Kluyveromyces lactis: one gene and its partners. The protein of the gene in region 2 binds, or shares a complex with, the protein of the main gene of each other region. Links are inferred from orthologs where the notes say so. Each region holds a gene or a part of one and is shown on either strand. Other genes may lie near its edges. The genes, in order: MRP2, RSM7, MRPS12, RSM25, MRPS18, RSM18 and MRPS8.

Region 1 (2,644 bases), on a different chromosome or scaffold from region 2:
GAGAGATCAGGCAGGTGGAAGGGTAAGGCAAAGACGGAATGTGGGATTCACGAGACAAGCAGATTTGCACAATATCTCAAACAAAGAGAATGATATGTGTTTGATATATATATATATATATATATCTTTTCTGTTGTATACTGTGCATGCGGCATCTCTTATCTAGCTTTATTTATGGTTTCAGTTTAGATACACAACGTGACATTTTTAGTCACTTAATGTACATATTATATATGTTGCGACTAAGGTGGAAAGTGTATGAACAGTTGCGAACCTTACCCATGCAACTTGGAAGAGAAACCCCCAGCTTGAATCTCTCATCAATTCTCATGACTGTCAAAGCCTAAAGTTTTTGGGCTGATTCACACTATGATAACCGGGAAAAAATGAATCAAAGGTTCTGAAAACATGCGTCCGGACAGATACGAAAAGCAACATAAACCAAAGAGAGAAACTTATATAACTCTGTATGATAGGAGTCAAGTAGCTCATTATTCCAGGATGATTAACATATTGAATCATAGAACATAGCTGACACTAACAAGCAAGGATGTCGTTGTCTAAATTACCTTTCGTAAAGCACAAGAAGAGTTTACCAGATGATGAGCTCATCAAGGTCTTATTTGTAAACCCTAATTCAACCCAAGCAATGACCGATGCCTGTTTAAAGATATTGGCTGGTCATGTAGCTCCAGACACTGTGGTTTACGGGTACACTGCACCATTTGGTAAGGCACCCAATGTGATTGAGGGTCATCTCGATGGTATTCAATCTGCAATTGCCGTTATGGAAGATGCTTACGATGTAATAAACCAAGTCGATTGTGTACTTGTTGGATGTTTTAGCGACCATCCATTGATAAAATCTATCAGGGAAGAATTTGATGATGTTGTGTGCATGGGTATCGTGGAAGCAGCCGTGTACTCATCCAGGATCATTGGATCAAAATTCGGTATTCTTGCATCAATTTACAAGGCTCAGTTAAGAGATGAGGAAACCATAGCAGGTCTTGGCATGTCCACATTTTGCGTTGGATTGTTAAGTTCTGGTATCAAAACCGTATCGGATTTGGTCAAAGTGGAAGAAGCTGAGCTTCATAAAACAATGTCTAAAACTGCCTTGACCTTAGTAGAAGAATATCACGCAGACACCATCATCTTGGGCTGTGCAGGGATGAGCGACTTGAAAAATGCTGTTGCAAACGCTTTACAGCAGAATGGCTATGAAGTGCCAATTATTGACGGAGTGGTATGCGGGATCAACATTGTTTCGGCTGTCTACAGAAGTGGATTACACGGTACATCCAAACAAGGAGCTTATTCAAGTGCTAGAAAGGCAAGAGAACTAAGAGGTGATACAGTTGAAATCAAGAAGTCATGATACTGGGAGTCCATTGGCATGGTGCTGTGTTCATTCCATTCCTTATATAACGTGTATAGTGCCAATATAGTCAGGTGACCTCCATCAAGAACGTTTAACATGATATGAACTTCAAGCTTTGAAAGAGAAAAAAACGAGTTTGGAGCTTCTCCGGAAGATGAAGAATAAAGTTCAAGCATTAGTGGATGCATTCTTTGGTTTTCGGCGTATTCAGTATCTGTGAGACTAATTTCGATAGTTATCCTAGCAATTAGTATATCCAAAGGAAGGCTGTAGATATAAACAACATGGGTGGTTTCAGATTTCCAATCAAGACAAAGCTTCCTTCAACGTATTTGAATGCTAGAGTTATCAGAGACAATTTCAAGAGACAGCAAGTTGCAGACAATGAAGTCACTGTAAAGGCATTGAAATTCATTGCTAGAAATACTACTCTACCTCCAAGGTCGAGAATGGAAGCTCAGTTACAACTTTCTGTGATGCCTAACTATACAAGAATGACACAAATCAAGAACAGATGTATTGAAACGGGACACTCCAGATCTGTTCTGAGTGATTTCAGATTGTGTAGATCGCAATTCAGAGAACTTGCCAGGAAAGGTGATCTACCTGGTGTGAAGAAGGGTGTATGGTAGATGCAGTTTAGCATCTTTTGTTCCCTGATACTGAGGTTAGTAAAAGTTGGAATCTTTCTCTCCCGCATGCATGTAAATATTTTTAATTAACTCAACATATATAAAGCTTGTGTATAGACATTAAAAAATACAAGGTTTAATCAATGTAAAAGAAGCGCTTGGGTTGTGGCAAAGCAAGTGACATTTATAAGATGAGAAAGTGCAGTATAGTGGTGATAATATTTAAGTTTCTTACAAAATAAAAGAGTGTAGGTATATAAAAATAATTTATAGGTAGAAACACACAAAACAGAAGAGAGGTAGAAGAGAAAATGTCAGGGAGGGATGGTCACTTGAAACCAGATGGAAACAAAGAAAAGAACGAGGAGAAAAAATTAGGAAATTCAACGGAAATTAATTGCTGACATTTGTATATTAAAAATTGATCAATTAGAAACAAATGAATATGGTTTGTTCGTCTTCCCTCTTCTTTTTTTTTGGATCTTTACTTCTGCCAATTAACGGTTGTAAACAATTCCCATCGCCTAATAATAATATCCTCAAAGCTCAGTCCTCTGTTTCAAGGTAAATTCAAATGAAGTTGGAGATAAGGGGGTGAAGAGTGGGTTTGGGGCGTGCGTGTCTTTAT
Region 2 (3,115 bases):
TCCAGTCACAATTCCCAATTGTTCTCTATCTAACCGAGAAAAGTGCTGGGAAAATGCTTGCTTTTCCTCACTAGTGAGGGGTACACGGAACGCAATACCTGACATGGTTCCCAGAGGCGTGGTGGATGTGTATCTGTTGCAGTTTATCGGCTATATTTCACGAAAGGGGTTTCGACCATTTGATCCAATTTGTCGTTATTCAATTATCTCAAAAAGATGATGAAACTATATAATCGTGCAAGATGACTTTCGGATCGCATAAAGAAGTGAAGCATTGATGTAGGATTAAGGTTTCCAATGCGATGAGAGAGTTGAGTTTATCACTTCATTTAGAAATTGTGTAGAGTGTATGCAACTCTTATTGAGAGTTTTTATGAAAATTGATAAATGATAAGATATAAATACGCAGTAACATTTTTCTCGAGTGTATGTTTTGTTGTCTTCCTCGGATTAACTACTGATGCCAGGTTAAAGCTAATAACATCAACTCATGATAAGCTCGCCCATTGCATAGTATTTTGCATTGAAACCGTTCTGTTTACCATGATGTTTGAATGTGATACCGTACAGTTGCCGGCATTCATCCCCAAAAGACTACGATCAAGGAATTTGGCTGCGTACGAACCTTTTTCCATGAACAAATATCTATTGGCATTTATTGTATGCTGCGTATGTGCCAGTACGAGCAGTGAATTTGCACAACAGTTCCTCTCACGAGGAAAAAGGTCCTTTGATGTAAACGATATTTTGGCCAATTTTTCGGGAAGTCTGCTGGGCCTAGGAATTGCATATAAGATAGAGCAACAAATTCAGCATAACTATGAAAATCGATAACGTTCATTTATATTTCACGTATACATATGTACAGGTTTATTCAAGTAAATACAGTGGAGGTTGGAACTTTGATCATTTTAGGTTAATGTAAGCTCTGTGTGCAATAGCAGTCTTATGAATAGAGTCTCTCTTTTCGAAACCTGAACTATTACCGTTGAAGACAGATACCAATTCTTCACCAAGTCTTACTGAGAAATCGCTCGATGATCTCTTCACAGAACTTTCCACAATCCATTTCCAAGCTAATCTAAACCTTTGTCTTTGATTCAATGGAACTGGAACCACAGTGGCCTTTGCGACACCAGTCTTGAAGGTCTTGATAACCATAAGAGGCGCCAACACATCCAAGGATTCTTTCAAAACTTTTACCGGGTCTTTCCTTGTTTGACAGAACACAATATATAACGCTCTTGAAAGAATCTTCTCAGCTCTTTCTCTTTTCCCGTGTCTCATAATCATATTCGTTACATGCTGTAAAACTGGATCCTGTTTTTTTGGAATGGGAACTTGCTTCAACGTTTCCCATTCATTTATTTGCTCTTGACTTGGCTCAAAGCTGGGCTTGTTCAATTCCATAGCCTTCTCCAAGATATTAATTCTAGATTGGTTACCTGGTGCAAGGGACGTAGCTGGGTTATAATCTTGTTGCGAAAACTCTTCTTCTAACGATCCAATAACTTTCAACCATTCATCAACCTGTTCGTCGCTAAGGCTAGCTAATTTCTCCCCTGTAGACGCATTATTATTCACAGATTGACTTTGGAATCTGGTTTGCATGGTCGGTATACTGGCAGCATGTACAAGTGGACTTCTTGCCAAAACGTTAGCATGGACGTGACTCAGACTAAACCTTCCTGCTCTCAACATACTGTACAATTTCCGTTGAATAGATGCCAGTGTACACAAGGACCACACAAGGACACACACAATACAACCAGAACCTATTCAATCTAAGAGTAACTCTCATTAGATCCAAATTCAAGCTTACTTCACCAGAATATGATGATATTGAATTTGGTTTGAAAATCGTAAATTTTTTTGATCAAAGGTTCAGAGATGAGCCAGTGTGAACAGTGTTACCCGCATAAATACACGTGACTACTAATGATCTGTTTCTATGTGCCGTTGGTAGTTTTGCCTGTCAGTGCATTGAGCACAAGCTTGCCAAGAATAATTAATGATATTATATAGACTGTACCTTATTAGACACCTTAGCCTTTAATATTATAGTAAAGATGTCGTTGATCTATTTTGTATTCAGGTATGTAACTATAGTATCTTTAGAACTTCCGTACTTAAGTGTTAAAATTCCTGCCGTTCTTAAGTGAAATCCTTTAAATAATATCACATTTCGTTACGTGAAAAGTTGGTGAAATTTGTTATATGCGCACAATATTATGTGAAATGATAAATAAAAGAAATTTGTTCAAATAACATGTAGGTTTCTAAGCTACAAAGATAGAACGGTCAATCAACAGACTAGAGAACGAACTTTATAAGGCTGCTGGCTGAGCTGGGATTGGCTAACCGTGTACTGTCTATTGGGACTAGGTGTTACAAGTCCGTTGTTTCATATTATTTTCCGAGACTATCCTTTTTATCTATTCTATATCTGCCAGTTTGGAATAAAAAAGGCATCGCTCATACTGGACTTATTTGTGCTAATTAGAATACCCCGAGAACACCGATCTTTCGTTAGTGCCATTTCAAGGAGATCTAACCAAGTGTAATATTACTATACCGTAGAATTTTTTTTTTTTTGCCAGCCTTTCCTACTATCAGCTCATTAATCAGATACATTGTCAATATGATGGGAATAAAATCCAGACATCTATACGACCGTTTGACTAAAATAGTTATCGATAAAGATCTAAGCGCGTTTAACGAAATATCGCCTTCGCAATTGATCCCACAGCTATCTGAACATTTCAGCATAACGATACCGAAGGAGATCTTCAATTATAACGAGGACCAAGAGGAAGACCTTTTACACAGATTGAAAGAGCTATCGAGGTACCTTGTTGTGAAATTTGCAAAAAGAGATAAGTATCCGTTCACGATTCAACGGATATGCGAATTATCTTACCATCCATTACAATATTTCCCTGTGCACAGTTTGCAAAAGTTTGTGTCGGCCATGGAGAAATGTTGCTTGGTGAATACTGATTGGACACCCAGGCTGGGCAAAGAGTGTCCAAACACAAACCCAATGGAAGATGTTTCTCTGATACCTATTGAGTGGATCCGCACGAATAAAGAAGATGAGAAGTCTTTGCAGGCG
Region 3 (2,911 bases), on a different chromosome or scaffold from region 2:
TAGTGTTACATTTTTTGATATACCTCTCATAGTACTCCTTTCTACCTTTGTATATCCTCGACCAGTACTTCCCCCCCACTAAGTCCTGATATTTTTTTAATACAGCGTCAAACTCTTGTCTGATGGGGACCATAGCTGTTATATGATCGTGCAAACCTGAAGCCAGCATCTTAGAGACACGATCTCCTCCATGACCGTCAAATATAGAAATATTCAAAACGTTTCTCTGGGGAGGTAATTCTTTCCAAAGTTTCATCTTAGTAGCGATCGATTTTTTTGAGTTTAACAACGAGCTTTCGGCTATAGTTGTTGGCAACTTCAGAATATTCATAGAATAAGAATCCTCGTTGTATAGTCTATTAATCCTTGAAGTCGCATGCCCGATGAAACCAGGATATTTGTTCAAATGAACCCTTAACATATGAGGTTTTGTTTCTTTCGAAGCAGCATGGCTTGCCGCTGTAGTTTGTAGAGTCGATCTGCCAGCTGTCTTTTGTAGAAGATCAGCTGGCCTTAGGTGAATGAATGACTGGGTTTTACCCATCTCGGGTTGGCTATAATCACAATCGTGTTCAACTTAACACAAATGGTAACACAAGAATTAGCCTCACAATATCTTATAACCGAATACCCCAGACATATAAGAAAGGTTCAAGAATGCCAATTGAAAACACTTCTCTCGTGTGTGGCGGATGCATCAACGAGCCAAAAAAAAGAGCCAAACCCTTGTATATTCACTAGACTTTATTATAACTAGATTTATTTTCCTTTAAAGTGTACCTACTGTTTTTTTTTTTTTTTTTTTTTTTTTTTTTTTCTATACATTCCGCAATAGTGCTTCAACACTACCCTCTTCATATAGGAAACCGTCAAAATCTCACTAGTGTTTCATTACCACATGCTAGCGTGATATGGAGGTGTATATAAGCCATTGCTATCGTTAACTACCGTATATGGGGCTATCTTGACGCATTTTGCCAAATAGTGACGGAACGGCTGTTACTCGGCAGCAGACACCAGGAGAGAAAACTATCTGATCTTATGCACGTGATACAAAAACTAAAAAAATAGACAGTCGCTTTAACACCAGCCTACCTAATTACTCGAGCCCGGAAGTCAAACTACCCCGCAATATTCTATCACGCATAATTCAAGTAGTTGGTTCAAACACCCTATTTACCTGCACCCACCTTACAGCTTGATCGTCCATAATCCAGTATAGTTGTTTGATATTTCAAAATAGGAAATACAACAACTACCTCAGTAAGGACTTTTCTCGTAATTCGGAACCCGCATAGTGCAGCTGGTGTTCCCAACGAAATGAACAAAATCTTTTAGGTTAAAAGATCTCTCAAACCATGCACATTTTCTGAACAATTTCCCGGACATCAGCAACAACACATATTCGATCACATGACTTCCGAATATTTTCAACTATGATTTTTCATCATCAGAAACTGACAAAAAATTATGAAGCAAATGTTGAATTGAAAGAGTTATATCAATCGGTCAGTGAATAAATGTTGGCGTAAGTTCAACTCTGAGTTTGACTTACGTGCACTGGATCTTAAGAAACAATCCTGTCAAAGATACCAATGTTCAAACAGGTTTTCGGATTGAGCAGTAGTCTGACTAGACTATCGTTGCGTAATGTTCGTTCAAGCATAGCATTTGCACCACCACTGCAACAACGTTCTTTCTCATATACTTCACCAATACAAGCCACGTTGAACCAAATAAAGAGAGGGGTCAAGCCTCCTGGCCGTAAGAAGATCACTGAATCCCCAGATTTGGAGGTATGCCCGATTCGTAAAGGAGTTGTGCTAAGAGTGATGGTATTGAAGCCAAAGAAACCTAATTCTGCTCAGAGAAAAGCTTGTAGAGTGAGATTAACCAATGGTAACATTGTTTCTGCATATATCCCAGGCGAAGGCCATAACGCACAAGAGCACAGTATTGTATATGTTCGTGGAGGCCGTTGCCAAGATTTACCTGGTGTGAAATATCATGTTGTCCGTGGTGCCGGTGATTTGGCCGGTGTTGTCAACAGAATCAGCTCCAGATCGAAGTACGGTGTGAAGAAACCAACAAAGGAGTAAGATACCAACAGTATTATATTCTGAATTATCAACATAAAATATATACTTATGTTTATAAACTAGACCTTCATGTAAATATGCGAATAATCTATCTACTGGTTGCTCAATCTTTATGGCCACGTGACCGAAATTTTGTTCGGATGGTTTTTCCATCATAGAAAAGTGCTGAAAATTTAGTTAACAACGATTTCAACGAAAAGGTGCCCCTATTGGAACAAACAGAAAGAAAGATTCATCATCTGCAAGGAATTGGGAAATTTCGAAGAGACTAAACCTGCTCAGTGTTGAGGAAACTTACAAGTTGATATTGTTCCAAGTCAATTGAAGAAAAGCTCATAGACTTGTTCGAAAAAAAAGCCTGGGTGAACACTTGTGAGCCTTCTAATATCAATACATAATAATGTTACACCTTAAACCATACAACCTATTGGTCCAAAAGACATTAACAGAAGCTTTGGAAGCTTACAACAATGGGTCTCCTTTAACTTTGGACAGAATCATCTCCGACTTTGATTATACAACGTTACACATCACCAACGATGGCACTGATAAGTCGAACCTATTAGTTTCCATCAGAACCAAGGCTACGCAATCTTGTAATGAGAGTGGGAACGATTTACAAGGGTTCTTGCAGGCAAAATTCGATGAAGTACCAGGTTTGGCTCTATCATCTGCTAAAAAGGAGGCCGGTTACGATTTTACCATTACTGTTGATCTATCTCAAATCACTGCGCAATCTATTGTGCAAGCATCTTTGTTTAAGATCCTTGTAATGTCATATCCATTCTATTTAGCGTTTGGCCAGAGTAATG
Region 4 (3,148 bases), about 230 kb from region 2:
AGATCGTGAAGTTTATATTTCTGACATTGATCAGCTGCTTGGTCTCATGGAATCTAATATTCAAGTCAACGGATTGGATGATAAGGTTCACGCCGAGGTGTTATGGTGGGGGAATCCCTTGCCGGATGTATTTGTCAAGAAACCGGTTGATTTAGTGCTAGCTGCGGACTGTGTGTACTTAGAAGCTGCTTTCCCATTATTGGAAAAAACACTGTTAGAATTAACTGATGGGGAGAATGTGCCAATTATTCTAATGGCATACAAGAAAAGGCGTAAAGCGGACAAACATTTCTTCCAAAAGATCAAGAAGAACTTTAAAATTGTAGAGATACGAGATTTTATTAACTTCGATAAATATTTGAAACAGAGAACTCATTTGTTTCAGCTTATGAGGGAGAAATAAAAAAATAGTAGTAGGGTGACAACTGACGTTTGTCAAATGCAAAGACACCCCATTTAGTTTGATCTTTTATGCTTTTTGTGATGCTCATGAAAGTACTTTCAATTCGTGAATTAACTATGAGTAACTTTATAGTTATAGTGACTTATATATACATGAAATTTTTATACAATAATGACAGTAAAACTCAGAGTTCTGACGGGAATAGTGTTCATTGGTTGTGTTTAATTGTGGAAGATCATAGTTGAATTTCCTCAACATCTTGATCAATAGGTTTTTGTTCTTCTTCGGTCTCGTTTGTCCAGGAAGCAGAAGGACTACTTGCTCTGGCAGCCATCAACTCAGCTTGCTGTAAGGCCTTTCTCTTCCATGTGTCAATGACCTTTTGTTCCTTAGCAATTCCGTATTCTATTGAAGTGGTATGGAAGACTGAACCGAACATTTCGGCTTCTTCTTGAGCAACTTGATCTTGAATTTCTTGTTGTATTCTTAGACGGTAGAACTCGAATCTAGCTTGATCATATGCATCAATGAGTTCTTTTTTCTCTCCTGATTTTAATAGGAAAAGCGTCCTTTGTACAACTGATTCGCCATCCAATGGCTTGCCTAGTTGTTGGATATGAGACCAGTCATATTCTTGAGTCTCTAGGGTATTCTCAACAAGAATCTTAGGTCTTGAAAGTTCCCATGGATGTTGCTGGAAGAACAATTTTCTCAATTTATCCTCGATATATACTAATTTTGGGGACTGATATAGCTTCGATGCACCATCTTTCTTTTCCAAAGAATTTGGTCTAGTTTTGTATAATCCTGAAGAATTGGCCTTCCAATTGCTGTAATCAGGTAGTGCAGTTCTAGATTTACCGTTCATAGGATGTGTCAGTTGTGGGGTTCTAGCAAACTTCTTTGTTGGTGGTACCTTCGCTATAACATTGTACCAAGCTGGAGTCTTCTTCAAAATACCAGACTTCAAATAGGCGGATGTACGTTCTAGTACATTAACGGCTTCTTGCTGAACCTTCATTTTATATCTGACGTTTATATGGCCCGTTTACTCTATACTATCTCAGTAAACTCGCAGGTTCAAGCAATCGATCCAATACTTGTTGTCCTGGAGCTGTTCATACAGCATATTTGTGAACTTTTCAACTTTTCACTATAATTTCATTTTGGATCGTCGATCAGATTTTTCAAATTTTTCTAAGTAGAAGCATTCAATTTTTAGATCACGTGAAGAGTAAACATTTTTCACCAAAATTAAAGATCGAAGAGCTAAGTGTATGGGGAGCGTAAGTTCCTTTATTCTTTTCAATACAGTGGAATGATAACTGATGAACCTTAGGTTTCATCTCGTTCCTGTTTTGAAAGGTTCAGAGTAGATATTTTCTTCGGCAGAATATTCACGGTCACTAGCTTTTCTGAAAAACATGTCTGCCCTATTCAATTTTAAATCATTGTTACAAGTTATACTATTGTTCATATGTTCGTGCACATATATTCATGCACAAAGACCATCGCTCCTTGATCGTTATAAGGACAGCGGTATACTAGGAGTATTTTGGAAGTTTGCGAGAATTGGGGAAAGAGCTAGTCCTTATGTGTCTTTAGCTTGCATTGCCATGGCAGTTTCGCAATTCAACAGTTGATAAACCCAAGGGAAAAGATAAAGATAAGTCACAATTGCTATAGGTGAAAGCTCTCATTAGCAAGTTTGACCGGCTCTGAGGTCTATAGAATTATATTTTAAGTATAAAATTAGTTTAATCTATTATCGGGCGGCTATTGGATTCGTTTGCGGGCTTGTCTCTTTGCATCAAATAATTAAGAATTAATATGTACTCTTTGAATCTGACTTTGAGTTTCAAAATTCTACAACAAACAAAGAAGTTGAAAAGTGCAACATATTTTAATACTCTAAGCTATTAGTAAAGGAGAACGATTGCGTAAGTTTTCGGTTTACTAATTATTTATGGCATATTTGATCCACTCTATTTAAACTCGTACACTTCGTTTTGGCCATGAGCCAATACTGCCGCGCGTTTAGATCCTACGACTCTCTCTAGAGAAAGACCGTCCATCTTACTATATATGCATCTGACAGTTGAAATGTTGATATCACAGTTGCCTAAAAATACGTTCTTACCAATATTGCGAACAACTTCAGAATAGAATTCAGGATTTCCCGGAGGCTTGTAGAAAATTACACTCTTGACGTTTTTTATTTCGTACCTTCTAAAGTGGTGCAATCTTTCTGTGTATAACAAGACCTTCACCTTTCCGTGTTGGAATCTTGCTCTATTGGATGTCAATTGTTTCTGGTTAGAGTACTCGTTGATTTCTCCGAATATGATTGTAGTTTTTTCTTTCAAATAGTTTCTAACACGGATGAAATCGGTATAATCAGGAATGTATAATAATATACCATCCTCGTACCCAGTAGATTTCACAATAGACGGAACGATGACACTCGTAAAAAATTTAAACCTGTAATCAGGTTCATCTAGAGCTGTCCCTCCTGCTAAATCAAATCTTTGGAATATTTGTCTAACCTTTAGTCCTAATTGACCAATGCTTGATTGTTCAGGTTTTATCTTCCTATGATTTTTCCATCTTCCAGCAAGATTACGACACTTCCCATTCAAGATTGAGTTGGCAAACGGTGATATGTATTTAGTGAAGACTATTGTTTGGCGGAAGAATTTTGCCTGTTCGTTAATATACCACATTCTGATTCGACTGAAATCTGCT
Region 5 (3,051 bases), about 160 kb from region 2:
GTAAAATTTCGTTTTGTAGCATTTCGGGCAAGCATTCCATCGCCAAATGTTGGTATAATTTATGATCTGTTGGTGAGATATGAGTGTAGAAATATTCCAATTTGACAACATTTGGATGGTCCGCAATTCGTAAAATCTCTAACTCTCTAGATTTATACTCAGTCTGAGCAGGAACCTTCTTAATGGCAAAAGGACCCAACCACTTCTGATTATCCGGTGTTAGGTAAGCTTGCACCACCGTGCCAAATGCACCTTGCCCAATTCGCTTATATTCCTTTACGAGCATTTCTCGCTTGACATTGGATTTATTACTGATGACATCATGAGCCACGTATTCATCTAATCTTTGCATAGACATGGCGAATCGCAATAAGGGGAAAGAAGACAGATAGTAACAGATACAAAAGCGATGCGATATCTATCGAATAAGAAAAAAATTACCACTTTTTGTTCGTTGTATTTCGCTCAAGTCTTCAAATTACAAACTTCAACCGTTATTTTGCAAGCAAACCTTAGAATATAGATATGTTCCTAACGGATGTAACGTGGATGGTTCAGGAAAAAAAGGGAAATATTGAATTGTAATGAATCAATAAAATCTGTATTAAATGAATTGATGAAATGAAATCGCTAATATTAATAAAAGCAACACAACAGGGGGAAAACACTCTTACTCAAGCAAGTCAATTAGTCCCTTGCAACAAGTGATGCAGCAGTGTCTATAATGTTTCTTCGCAGTAAATTCTTCGCGCTGCAATCGCTCGGCAAATTCAACAACTAGAAGTTCCCAGAACTTAAACGTTTGAGCACCCTTAGCAGTGTTGTGTCCGTTATCAGAGACCCTATTTGTTACTTTGAAACAAGGTTCTGGTTTATTTTTTGTTTGTTTTTTCCTAATTTCCTAAAACTAAAATTGATTTTCATATTCGGTTTTCCAAGAATCTGATATCAATATGACTGACTGACTACTGACTGAGTTACACAATTATTGATAAAAGCGATATAAAAGACGTTCTAATTGAGGGAACGTTCCAAACAAAATTTAATTCTAAGATCTCCCAGAGCCAGCTTTTATGAAGTTCGACTCTGAGAGTACTACACTCTCTCTAGATATGAATGCACAAACGAAGTTAAATTGGCATTTATAGCATTAATGAGGAATTACTCAGGTTCAGGTCCTATATCCTCCACCTGAACTTTCTCTTGATTGTAGCATCAAGTTGTAGAAATGGTTTGGGGAATGCGAGGTGATCTTCGCCAGTCTGCATATAATATTTCTATCAAATGTTTACCCCATCGCATCTCGGCACTCTTTATCAACGTGATATCTTCCGCCAGTGGACTGCAGGCACTTCACATTAAAGGCTAATCCTTATACACCGGGTAATGACAAGTTAGTCACGTGTTAATGCAACACCGGGTAATGGTTTATGAGCATATCTTGAAAATGAATTGGGAAAACAGAAGATATTTAGAGTTTGCATTTCATAGAGGAATACTATTCGTCTGAGTATGGAGACCTGCATTCGAGAAAGACACAGGTTGTGGTTAATATAAATCGGCGTCGAAAATACACCACGATGCTGAGAACATTAGTGAGACTGTTCAGCTCAACGGCCAGGACAAACCAAGATGTGGCTTCCATCTTATTTTCATCTGTCAAAGGATCAGAAAAGGCTCCAGTGATGGAAGACACCAATGTTGTCCAACCTAATACTCTTCGTGGTAGCAATAAGAAAGGGAGAGTCGATGAAGCAGTGATAAAATATATATTGAACTGCAGATTCACTAAGAACAATACACATTTCACATACAGTGCCGTAATGGAGGATAGAAACTTTTTGGCGAACAATCCACAATTATCCTACAACGAAAAATATCTATACTATTTGAAACTCCCACAACAGGTCAAATTTCATTTATCTACTGGTCATTTAGGGTTCCGTAAAGCTGCCCGTGGTGAATATGAAGCCTCATTCCAAACAGCAACTAAGTTATTTGAAACTCTTTATCAGAAGAAGCTACTGGATAAGAATATAGAAATTGTTATGAGAGACTTCGGTAAGGGAAGAGATGCTTTCATCAGTGCATTGAACGGTAAGGAAGGAAACCTCATCAGACGTCACATATCTAGAGTAGCCGATGCTACTGAATTGAAATTCGGTGGTGTGAAGGCCCCAAGACCAAGAAGATTGTGATTCGGTCTCTCACCATTTCATCTTTCACTAATAGTCTCTGTGTATAGACATGAATTTGGAAAATAATTCGGTATAATAACAAATAATGCATGTATATAAATTTAACGTAACGCACCAGAATTTTCGTTTAAATACATTAAGACAGCAATTCGAAGTATGATTTCACACAATTATGACATTGCTCATGCCTTATAATCTCTGGATGCTAATTTCATCGAAGATTTAAAATTTTCCGGAAAGTAGCGGGACTGTTTTGTGGATGCACGGATTTGGCTTTAGATTTTTTGTAAAAATTGTTAGGTATTTTAGTATTCCATTTTAGGTAATTAAAATTTCAATTGGAGGTTCTAAAAAAAGGAAAGGCAGAGGAGGCGTTCCGGCTGCCAGGTTCTCACCGTTCTCCTTCTGTCGCTCCGTTCGAGTCTAGTCTTCCCAGCGAGAGGACTCTGATTCTGCCCACTCTCCCCTCTACTCGCACTGACATTCTGAGGTGCGTAGGCAGGAACTGCTGTCCATCCAGCCTATCATCCATTCCTTCCCTGAGCCTGGAGCCATATCCTGTACCTGCAAATCACAGTGCGATTGTGCTACCTGGCCAGGGATACCCTGTTCGTGCTGAATATTCCTTTCGACTACGGACAGTTTCGCTTGCGACCTTGTATCTGTATTGTTTCATCAAAAGTAATATTGAACGTTTTAAAGAATATTTCAATATCATTCGGTATTAGAGTACACTTGATTAGCATTCAAAGAGGCCGCACACAACCAAGACACAAAAATGGCTCCATCTAGTATGTTACTGAGATGCGCAACTGAAAGCTACATGCTGATAATGGTGGGATAACGACTTACC
Region 6 (2,935 bases), about 100 kb from region 2:
TTTAAACCTCGATAAGTTTATTATTTGCCTGGCTCACGTCCACCAGATAGATGCGGTTCTGCGTGTACTTATCTTTGTCTGTGCCTTGATTTTAGTTCTCTATTTTTTTAATTAATTTCATCAAAATCAAATCGCGCCTCATTAATATTACATTAATGAGACGCGGAAGTATAATATGAGTATAAATAACTATAAATATAATCATTATTAGAATTGATACAATTAATAGAATTATTAACCCCCCCTCGCCATTCCTAGATCTAAAGAGACACAACTTGCTATTTGTAGAAAGAAAGCAGCTGCGCTGTTTGATAGATTTAAAGTTAGAGGTTGTCGATAATGATTAATAAGGATAAAATTGTTGATGGAGTTGTTTTTAAAGACGAAGATGATCCTGAAGAAACAGTTGTTTTTAATTTCCATACTTGGGTAGAAATGCTTAAAGCAATTATCGTTAAGTATGCAAATAAAAAAGAAGATGAGGCTGAATTAATGGTTTTATCGTCTTCATTAGTATGTAAGCCCATTGATAGTTATCTGGCAGTATGTCTTCGTAGCCATGAACTTGAGTATCATTGGGCAATGCTGATAGCTTACGGTGAACAGTTTTGGTTGAAAGGAGTAAGCTCTAAACAACCAGATGATTATTTAATATTGGACGAGAGTTATAGAAAAGACCACAATCTAGCTGAAGAAAGTTTTGTATTTAACGATTAATGGATTGAAAGCTGGAAAAGTAGTAATATTTTCCAGCTTTTTAATTTGTTGTTACGTTTATATGTTAACCTACTTAACCTGAATAACCACCAGAGCGGATAGAACACTGACTGATAATAGATGAATTGATGTTACATTGGAAATCACACCAATATTGATAAAATCCTCGAATTAGTTCAGAATCGCAGTTATTTACTGATTCATTATTCCCATCAGATCCAGCCAAGAATCAAGACCCTGCCGAAAAGCTGGGGTAAACGTTTGATTGTGGCCCACGGCTGGCTATGGGCGATTTCTACGTGCGGCAGCAGCGCGCCAGCGCGCCGCTGATCAAAGATCCATTACTGCTGCAGGTTACCGACAATGAAAGCCAGCTAGCCTCGATGCTGGCACACGAAATCTCACACGTGACCAAGCGCAACGCACCGCTGACCTGGGTAGGCACTCGGCTCCATTTTGCTGGCTATAACCAACCTGACTGCCGGCATAGCAGCGCTCAGCGGTACCGTCGCCGGTACCCAGCAAACGGATCATCAGTTTTGGCCAGGTCAAAGAATAGGAGGCCGATTGCATCGGCCTGTAGGTGCTGGAGCGCGCCGGGTTTGATCCACAGGGATGCCCGACTTCCTGCAAGAGCTTTCCGATCAATCGCGCTACACCTCCAAGGTTGATCTGCGTAAACTGGGTTGACAACAGGAAAAAGGTTGAATGCCTGGCAATGACTTAAGTATCCTTTATTTCAATCTCTTTTTTTTTGAAATTTAGAGATCTTTTCAACATGGAAAATTTTATTCAATAACATGAATATTAAGCAAGCAAGAGAAGGAAAACAACCAAGTCGCTCGGGCCTTTCTACGCCTGTTAACGAGAGATTGAATAAATTAAAACACATCAGAAGAAATGTTTTCCCGCAGCTGCGCAAGATTCTTTTCTACCACAAGATATGTCTGCAACAGTCTTGACCAAAAACTTCTGAAAGAAGGTATGTCGGAAGCTAATAGCAAGCCCACAATCAAGAAGCTAGAATCCAAGTTAATCAAAAACTTTCAGCCGGGCTCCGTTTACAATCCATTTGATTTCTCCTTAGAAAGAATACATTTAGATAAGAAGTTTGGGGTACGTCCTGGATCGTTTGACCCATTCAACAAATTGAAGATCAATCCACTTGATTTATACACCAACCCAGAGTTCTTGTCAAGATTTGTGACATCAACGGGTAAAATATTACACAGAGATGTAACTGGTTTATCGGCTAAGAACCAGCGTCGTCTAACAAAGGCTATTAAGAGATGCCAAGCAATAGGTTTGATGTCTAAGGTTCACAAAGACATATCGGTGCTTCCTCAAAGAACTGCAAACAGAAGCTAATCATGACATGTGATAACTTCTTGTATATATGAATATATGTTTCTCAATAAATAGGATTATATCTGTAAATAGCGCTAACAGTATAAACACGTTGCAATGGAAAGCTCCGGGACTGAATGATAGTACAGTGTTCTCATTTGTCGAATAGTCTATCCGATGGACCGTGCAATCGTATATAAACATCAGTACCCCATCCCCACAATGACTGAATGTCAAGTGTACCATTGAACAACTCTAGGTACGCTTTGCACATTGGAAGTCCGAATCCCATACCTGCAACGTTTTGGACTTCTTGACCAGGTAAAACATAATCGCTCATACCGCTGTCCTTCTCTTCCTTCACCGTTGTGGAAAAAGAATAATCAAAGACTCGGTCTTCTACCTGTGGATCTATACCGCCTCCGAAGTCTCTGATTCTGATCTCAAGTTGATCGTCGTTTTTCACTATTGTTACTTCCACATCTTTGTCAACGTTGTTTTCAATATGTGCTCTCGAGCTGTTCTTAAGCAATTCTTGAAGGACGTATTCTAGATCCGTAGGTATATATGAAAATTTCACATCAGACCCTTCCATAATTTTCACTGGAACGGTCTTATCGTATTTGATAAATGTCAAATCGTTAACAAATTCGTTCGTTCTTGTAACTAAGTCAGATATATGCAAATCTTTATGGATGACGCCAATGACCTCATCGGAAGAAGTCTGTTCCAAGAGCTTCAAATAGTTGGTAGTCAACAACTTCATCAATATTCTGTCATGTAAATGCTTATTCAAAAACTTGAATATGTTTTCTGGATCATAAAAACGGCTCACTTCCTGCAACCCATTTGATAACGTAAGTAACGTATC
Region 7 (2,644 bases), about 370 kb from region 2:
ATCGGCAGGTTAATGGGTTTCACAGAATTCGGAAGTTCCAAGAAATAACATAAATATTGACGTTTTTATTCGAAGCATATCTACATCCCACTATTCACAACGTACTTCTGCTGAATGGCAATTAGATACTGATGATATTTACAAAGTTTAATCGAGATAAAGTTGGATGGATTGTTATAGGAAGTCCCCAGATATATGCAAAAGGGTGCCGATGGGGAAAATGGCATGAGGGGTCATTTTAGATGGTCTCAACTTTATCCACGGTTTTAAAGTATTTGGAAACCTGGCCGTCTCCTTCTGAATTTGGTACAATAACTTTGTCGATAACGGAAACCTCATTTTCGAACTTGATCGCATCTTTTATATTGTCTGGGAAGTCAAGTAGATAAACAGTGTCACCCTTTTGACATTTCTCCTTCATATATTTACCTATCAAGACGACAGAGAGACCTGTTGGTAGTTTTTCCATGTACGATTTCCCCTCCTTTTCATATAAATCATTTAAAAGCACATAATATTTATCGTCAGACTTATTTCTGAAGAATTCAATAGCTTCTGAAGGTTTGATAACCTTCGCATCTTCGGGGAATTTCAGTTTCTTGGTTGCAACTCCGGTTTGCACACATCTTAAATTTAAATCATCTTGCTCAAAGATCGAAACTCTTCTTCTTAGACCACTCATCACAGTGTCAAATTCAGAGAATGTGTACGTGTTTTTAGGCTTGTTCTGTTCCAAAGAGTCGACTGCCTTAACAAAAATAGCAGTCCCAACTAAACCAACAAGTAAAATGGTTTTAAAACTTGGTGGTTCTTCAGCTTTATCCATTTTTCCAGACAGCATCCGGCGCATGACCGGAGACTTCAATAATCTTGGTGCAGCGCGTACGAACATATCGGCCTTGATCTTTGTATAGTGCAGCAGATAGCTACTGATGAGATTGGCTATAGGCCTCGTAGTGAAACAAAGAAGCAATCCTAATTAAAATGTCATAACATTCCGGATCTTCTCCAGCAAGCTATATTGAAAGATCTTAAAATGTCATTGACGAAATATTTCCACAGGTTTGATAGAAAAGTGATAAGGTACAAAACAAAAGAGAAGAGGTAAGGAGATTGCCATTATAGGACCCTGGCTTGAGAAGGCGTACAGTTAGAAGATTATATGAAACTGCATCTAGCAGCTTACTTCCAACACTGCTTTCGCTTCATTCTAGGCTGATAAAGACACCGTTGGCTATTTCTTTCCAAACACTGACGGTGTGATGTACGGGTGGGATATGTAGATATTCTAAAAATTTTCTGTTCACCAAAATTTGGGCTATACACATGAGATGAAGGACAACTCTTCAATGATAAACTGTTACCGGGTTGGCCTCTCCAATCAAGGAAAAACGATCCTCATTAAGCTTCCATAACAATTGTGATACACTTTGTCAAGAATGTCATTAGTGAATTTGGGTAATGTTTGCGCGCACTTGCAAAACTGTTCCCGCGCAAGAATTGGTTTGACTTCAATCCCATATACAAAGTTACACTTGAACTTCGCTTATAACTTATACAAGCATGGCTTCTTATCCAGTTTACAACGAGGATCTACTAAGGGCCCAGATGTCACACCGGTAGACGTAACGCCAGATAATATCGCTACTAGAAAACTGTGGTTGGGTTTAAAATACAGGGAAAACAAGCCAGTTATTTCTAGTTGTAGATTGATATCAAAACCAAACTTGAGAATCAGTCTAGATGCACATGATTTGAAGAAACTATGTTCAGGTACCTCCGTCAGATTGATCAAACCTTTGGCTCCTGGTGAATTAATTTTAGTGAAATCTGGGAATGAAATTATGGATATCGATGATGCTATCGCCAAGAAAGTCGGTGGTGAAGTGCTATGCAGAATTAGGTGAATCATCAGTAAAATTCCCAGCAATAAAGACCATTAGTCATATAATCAAAAACAAAGTGCAGAATATTTCATCAACATGTGTGATGGACCATCGAAACTTCCAATATCATCAAAAGGAAATCCACCTCATATTCCATGTATATAGTAACATTCAATCAGTGCGATTTTCCTTTTAGCGACAATCATCAATCGTGTCAAATATCAGTTTTATACATACACTAATATAATTGTATACTTGTACATTATAGCATTATATTTGCCTAAACGAGACAAATGAGACAAATCATAAAAAAATCATAGCTCTGTGGTAATAGTAACAAGGCTGAAACTTACTTAAAATTCCACAACTGGGCCAACACCAACTGATCTCCAATTTGTCATATCGACATTCCAGTTCTTCCACTTAGCTAACATAACAGGGTCTGTCGTTGGATGCTGAATCTGTCTCGATGGCTCGAATTTGGATGGAGAATGTCTATCAAAGGAAGAGAATTCCACAGGGGTTAGTTGTGGTGATTGTGTTGCTCTAAGCTGCTCTACTTCTTGTCTAGACGTAGATAGCTCCTGCTGAGCGGACAGCAATTGTACAGTTTTATCATTGAGTTGAGATTTCATGATGTTTATCTGTTCTTCAAGCTCTTCTATGGAGCTTTCTTGATCTATGTTGACAAACTTCAATTGCTTTACTTGATCTTTTAGCTTTGAAACTTCTTCCTTGAGGTTTATTACTTCATCTTG

What was found.
Region 1: RSM7 (region 2) and MRP2 share a complex: the UniProt entries of both Schizosaccharomyces pombe proteins name them as parts of the mitochondrial small ribosomal subunit. The link is inferred for Kluyveromyces lactis from reciprocal best matches to the Schizosaccharomyces pombe genes rsm7 and mrp2.
Region 3: RSM7 (region 2) and MRPS12 share a complex: the UniProt entries of both Schizosaccharomyces pombe proteins name them as parts of the mitochondrial small ribosomal subunit. The link is inferred for Kluyveromyces lactis from reciprocal best matches to the Schizosaccharomyces pombe genes rsm7 and mrps12.
Region 4: RSM7 (region 2) and RSM25 share a complex: the UniProt entries of both Schizosaccharomyces pombe proteins name them as parts of the mitochondrial small ribosomal subunit. The link is inferred for Kluyveromyces lactis from reciprocal best matches to the Schizosaccharomyces pombe genes rsm7 and rsm25.
Region 5: RSM7 (region 2) and MRPS18 share a complex: the UniProt entries of both Schizosaccharomyces pombe proteins name them as parts of the mitochondrial small ribosomal subunit. The link is inferred for Kluyveromyces lactis from reciprocal best matches to the Schizosaccharomyces pombe genes rsm7 and mrps18.
Region 6: RSM7 (region 2) and RSM18 share a complex: the UniProt entries of both Schizosaccharomyces pombe proteins name them as parts of the mitochondrial small ribosomal subunit. The link is inferred for Kluyveromyces lactis from reciprocal best matches to the Schizosaccharomyces pombe genes rsm7 and rsm18.
Region 7: RSM7 (region 2) and MRPS8 share a complex: the UniProt entries of both Schizosaccharomyces pombe proteins name them as parts of the mitochondrial small ribosomal subunit. The link is inferred for Kluyveromyces lactis from reciprocal best matches to the Schizosaccharomyces pombe genes rsm7 and mrps8.

Annotation. Positions count from the first base shown.
Region 1 is NC_006038.1:937,124-939,767, reverse strand, and holds MRP2 (mitochondrial 37S ribosomal protein uS14m), read left to right. Parts: upstream 1-1,668; coding exon 1,669-2,016; downstream 2,017-2,644. Other genes in the region: MET16 (phosphoadenylyl-sulfate reductase (thioredoxin)), read left to right, coding at 1-93; DCG1 (Dcg1p), read left to right, coding at 551-1,381. UniProt on the Schizosaccharomyces pombe protein: Component of the mitochondrial ribosome (mitoribosome), a dedicated translation machinery responsible for the synthesis of mitochondrial genome-encoded proteins, including at least some of the essential transmembrane subunits of the mitochondrial respiratory chain.
Region 2 is NC_006041.1:512,071-515,185, reverse strand, and holds RSM7 (mitochondrial 37S ribosomal protein uS7m), read right to left. Parts: upstream 1,702-3,115; coding exon 907-1,701; downstream 1-906. Other genes in the region: EDE1 (Ede1p), read right to left, coding at 1-105; KLLA0_E05765g (uncharacterized protein), read left to right, coding at 388-834; PSY4 (Psy4p), read left to right, coding at 2,642-3,115. UniProt on the Schizosaccharomyces pombe protein: Component of the mitochondrial ribosome (mitoribosome), a dedicated translation machinery responsible for the synthesis of mitochondrial genome-encoded proteins, including at least some of the essential transmembrane subunits of the mitochondrial respiratory chain.
Region 3 is NC_006042.1:669,615-672,525, forward strand, and holds MRPS12 (mitochondrial 37S ribosomal protein uS12m), read left to right. Parts: upstream 1-1,595; coding exon 1,596-2,099; downstream 2,100-2,911. Other genes in the region: type 2C protein phosphatase PTC6, read right to left, coding at 1-544; ARC35 (Arc35p), read left to right, coding at 2,500-2,911. UniProt on the Schizosaccharomyces pombe protein: Component of the mitochondrial ribosome (mitoribosome), a dedicated translation machinery responsible for the synthesis of mitochondrial genome-encoded proteins, including at least some of the essential transmembrane subunits of the mitochondrial respiratory chain.
Region 4 is NC_006041.1:743,421-746,568, reverse strand, and holds RSM25 (mitochondrial 37S ribosomal protein mS23), read right to left. Parts: upstream 1,425-3,148; coding exon 639-1,424; downstream 1-638. Other genes in the region: EFM6 (putative protein-lysine N-methyltransferase), read left to right, coding at 1-403; KSH1 (Ksh1p), read left to right, coding at 1,828-2,046; rRNA-binding ribosome biosynthesis protein UTP25, read right to left, coding at 2,389-3,148. UniProt on the Schizosaccharomyces pombe protein: Component of the mitochondrial ribosome (mitoribosome), a dedicated translation machinery responsible for the synthesis of mitochondrial genome-encoded proteins, including at least some of the essential transmembrane subunits of the mitochondrial respiratory chain.
Region 5 is NC_006041.1:673,430-676,480, forward strand, and holds MRPS18 (mitochondrial 37S ribosomal protein YmS18), read left to right. Parts: upstream 1-1,580; coding exon 1,581-2,198; downstream 2,199-3,051. Other genes in the region: serine/threonine/tyrosine protein kinase MCK1, read right to left, coding at 1-358; RPL25 (60S ribosomal protein uL23), read left to right, coding at 2,977-2,989. UniProt on the Schizosaccharomyces pombe protein: Component of the mitochondrial ribosome (mitoribosome), a dedicated translation machinery responsible for the synthesis of mitochondrial genome-encoded proteins, including at least some of the essential transmembrane subunits of the mitochondrial respiratory chain.
Region 6 is NC_006041.1:408,964-411,898, reverse strand, and holds RSM18 (mitochondrial 37S ribosomal protein bS18m), read left to right. Parts: upstream 1-1,617; coding exon 1,618-2,085; downstream 2,086-2,935. Other genes in the region: KLLA0_E04599g (uncharacterized protein), read left to right, coding at 340-717; KLLA0_E04577g (uncharacterized protein), read left to right, coding at 1,002-1,388; protein kinase PKP1, read right to left, coding at 2,219-2,935. UniProt on the Schizosaccharomyces pombe protein: Component of the mitochondrial ribosome (mitoribosome), a dedicated translation machinery responsible for the synthesis of mitochondrial genome-encoded proteins, including at least some of the essential transmembrane subunits of the mitochondrial respiratory chain.
Region 7 is NC_006041.1:141,018-143,661, forward strand, and holds MRPS8 (mitochondrial 37S ribosomal protein uS8m), read left to right. Parts: upstream 1-1,439; coding exon 1,440-1,907; downstream 1,908-2,644. Other genes in the region: U4/U6-U5 snRNP complex subunit SNU23, read left to right, coding at 1-48; AIM36 (Aim36p), read right to left, coding at 239-892; BUG1 (Bug1p), read right to left, coding at 2,240-2,644. UniProt on the Schizosaccharomyces pombe protein: Component of the mitochondrial ribosome (mitoribosome), a dedicated translation machinery responsible for the synthesis of mitochondrial genome-encoded proteins, including at least some of the essential transmembrane subunits of the mitochondrial respiratory chain.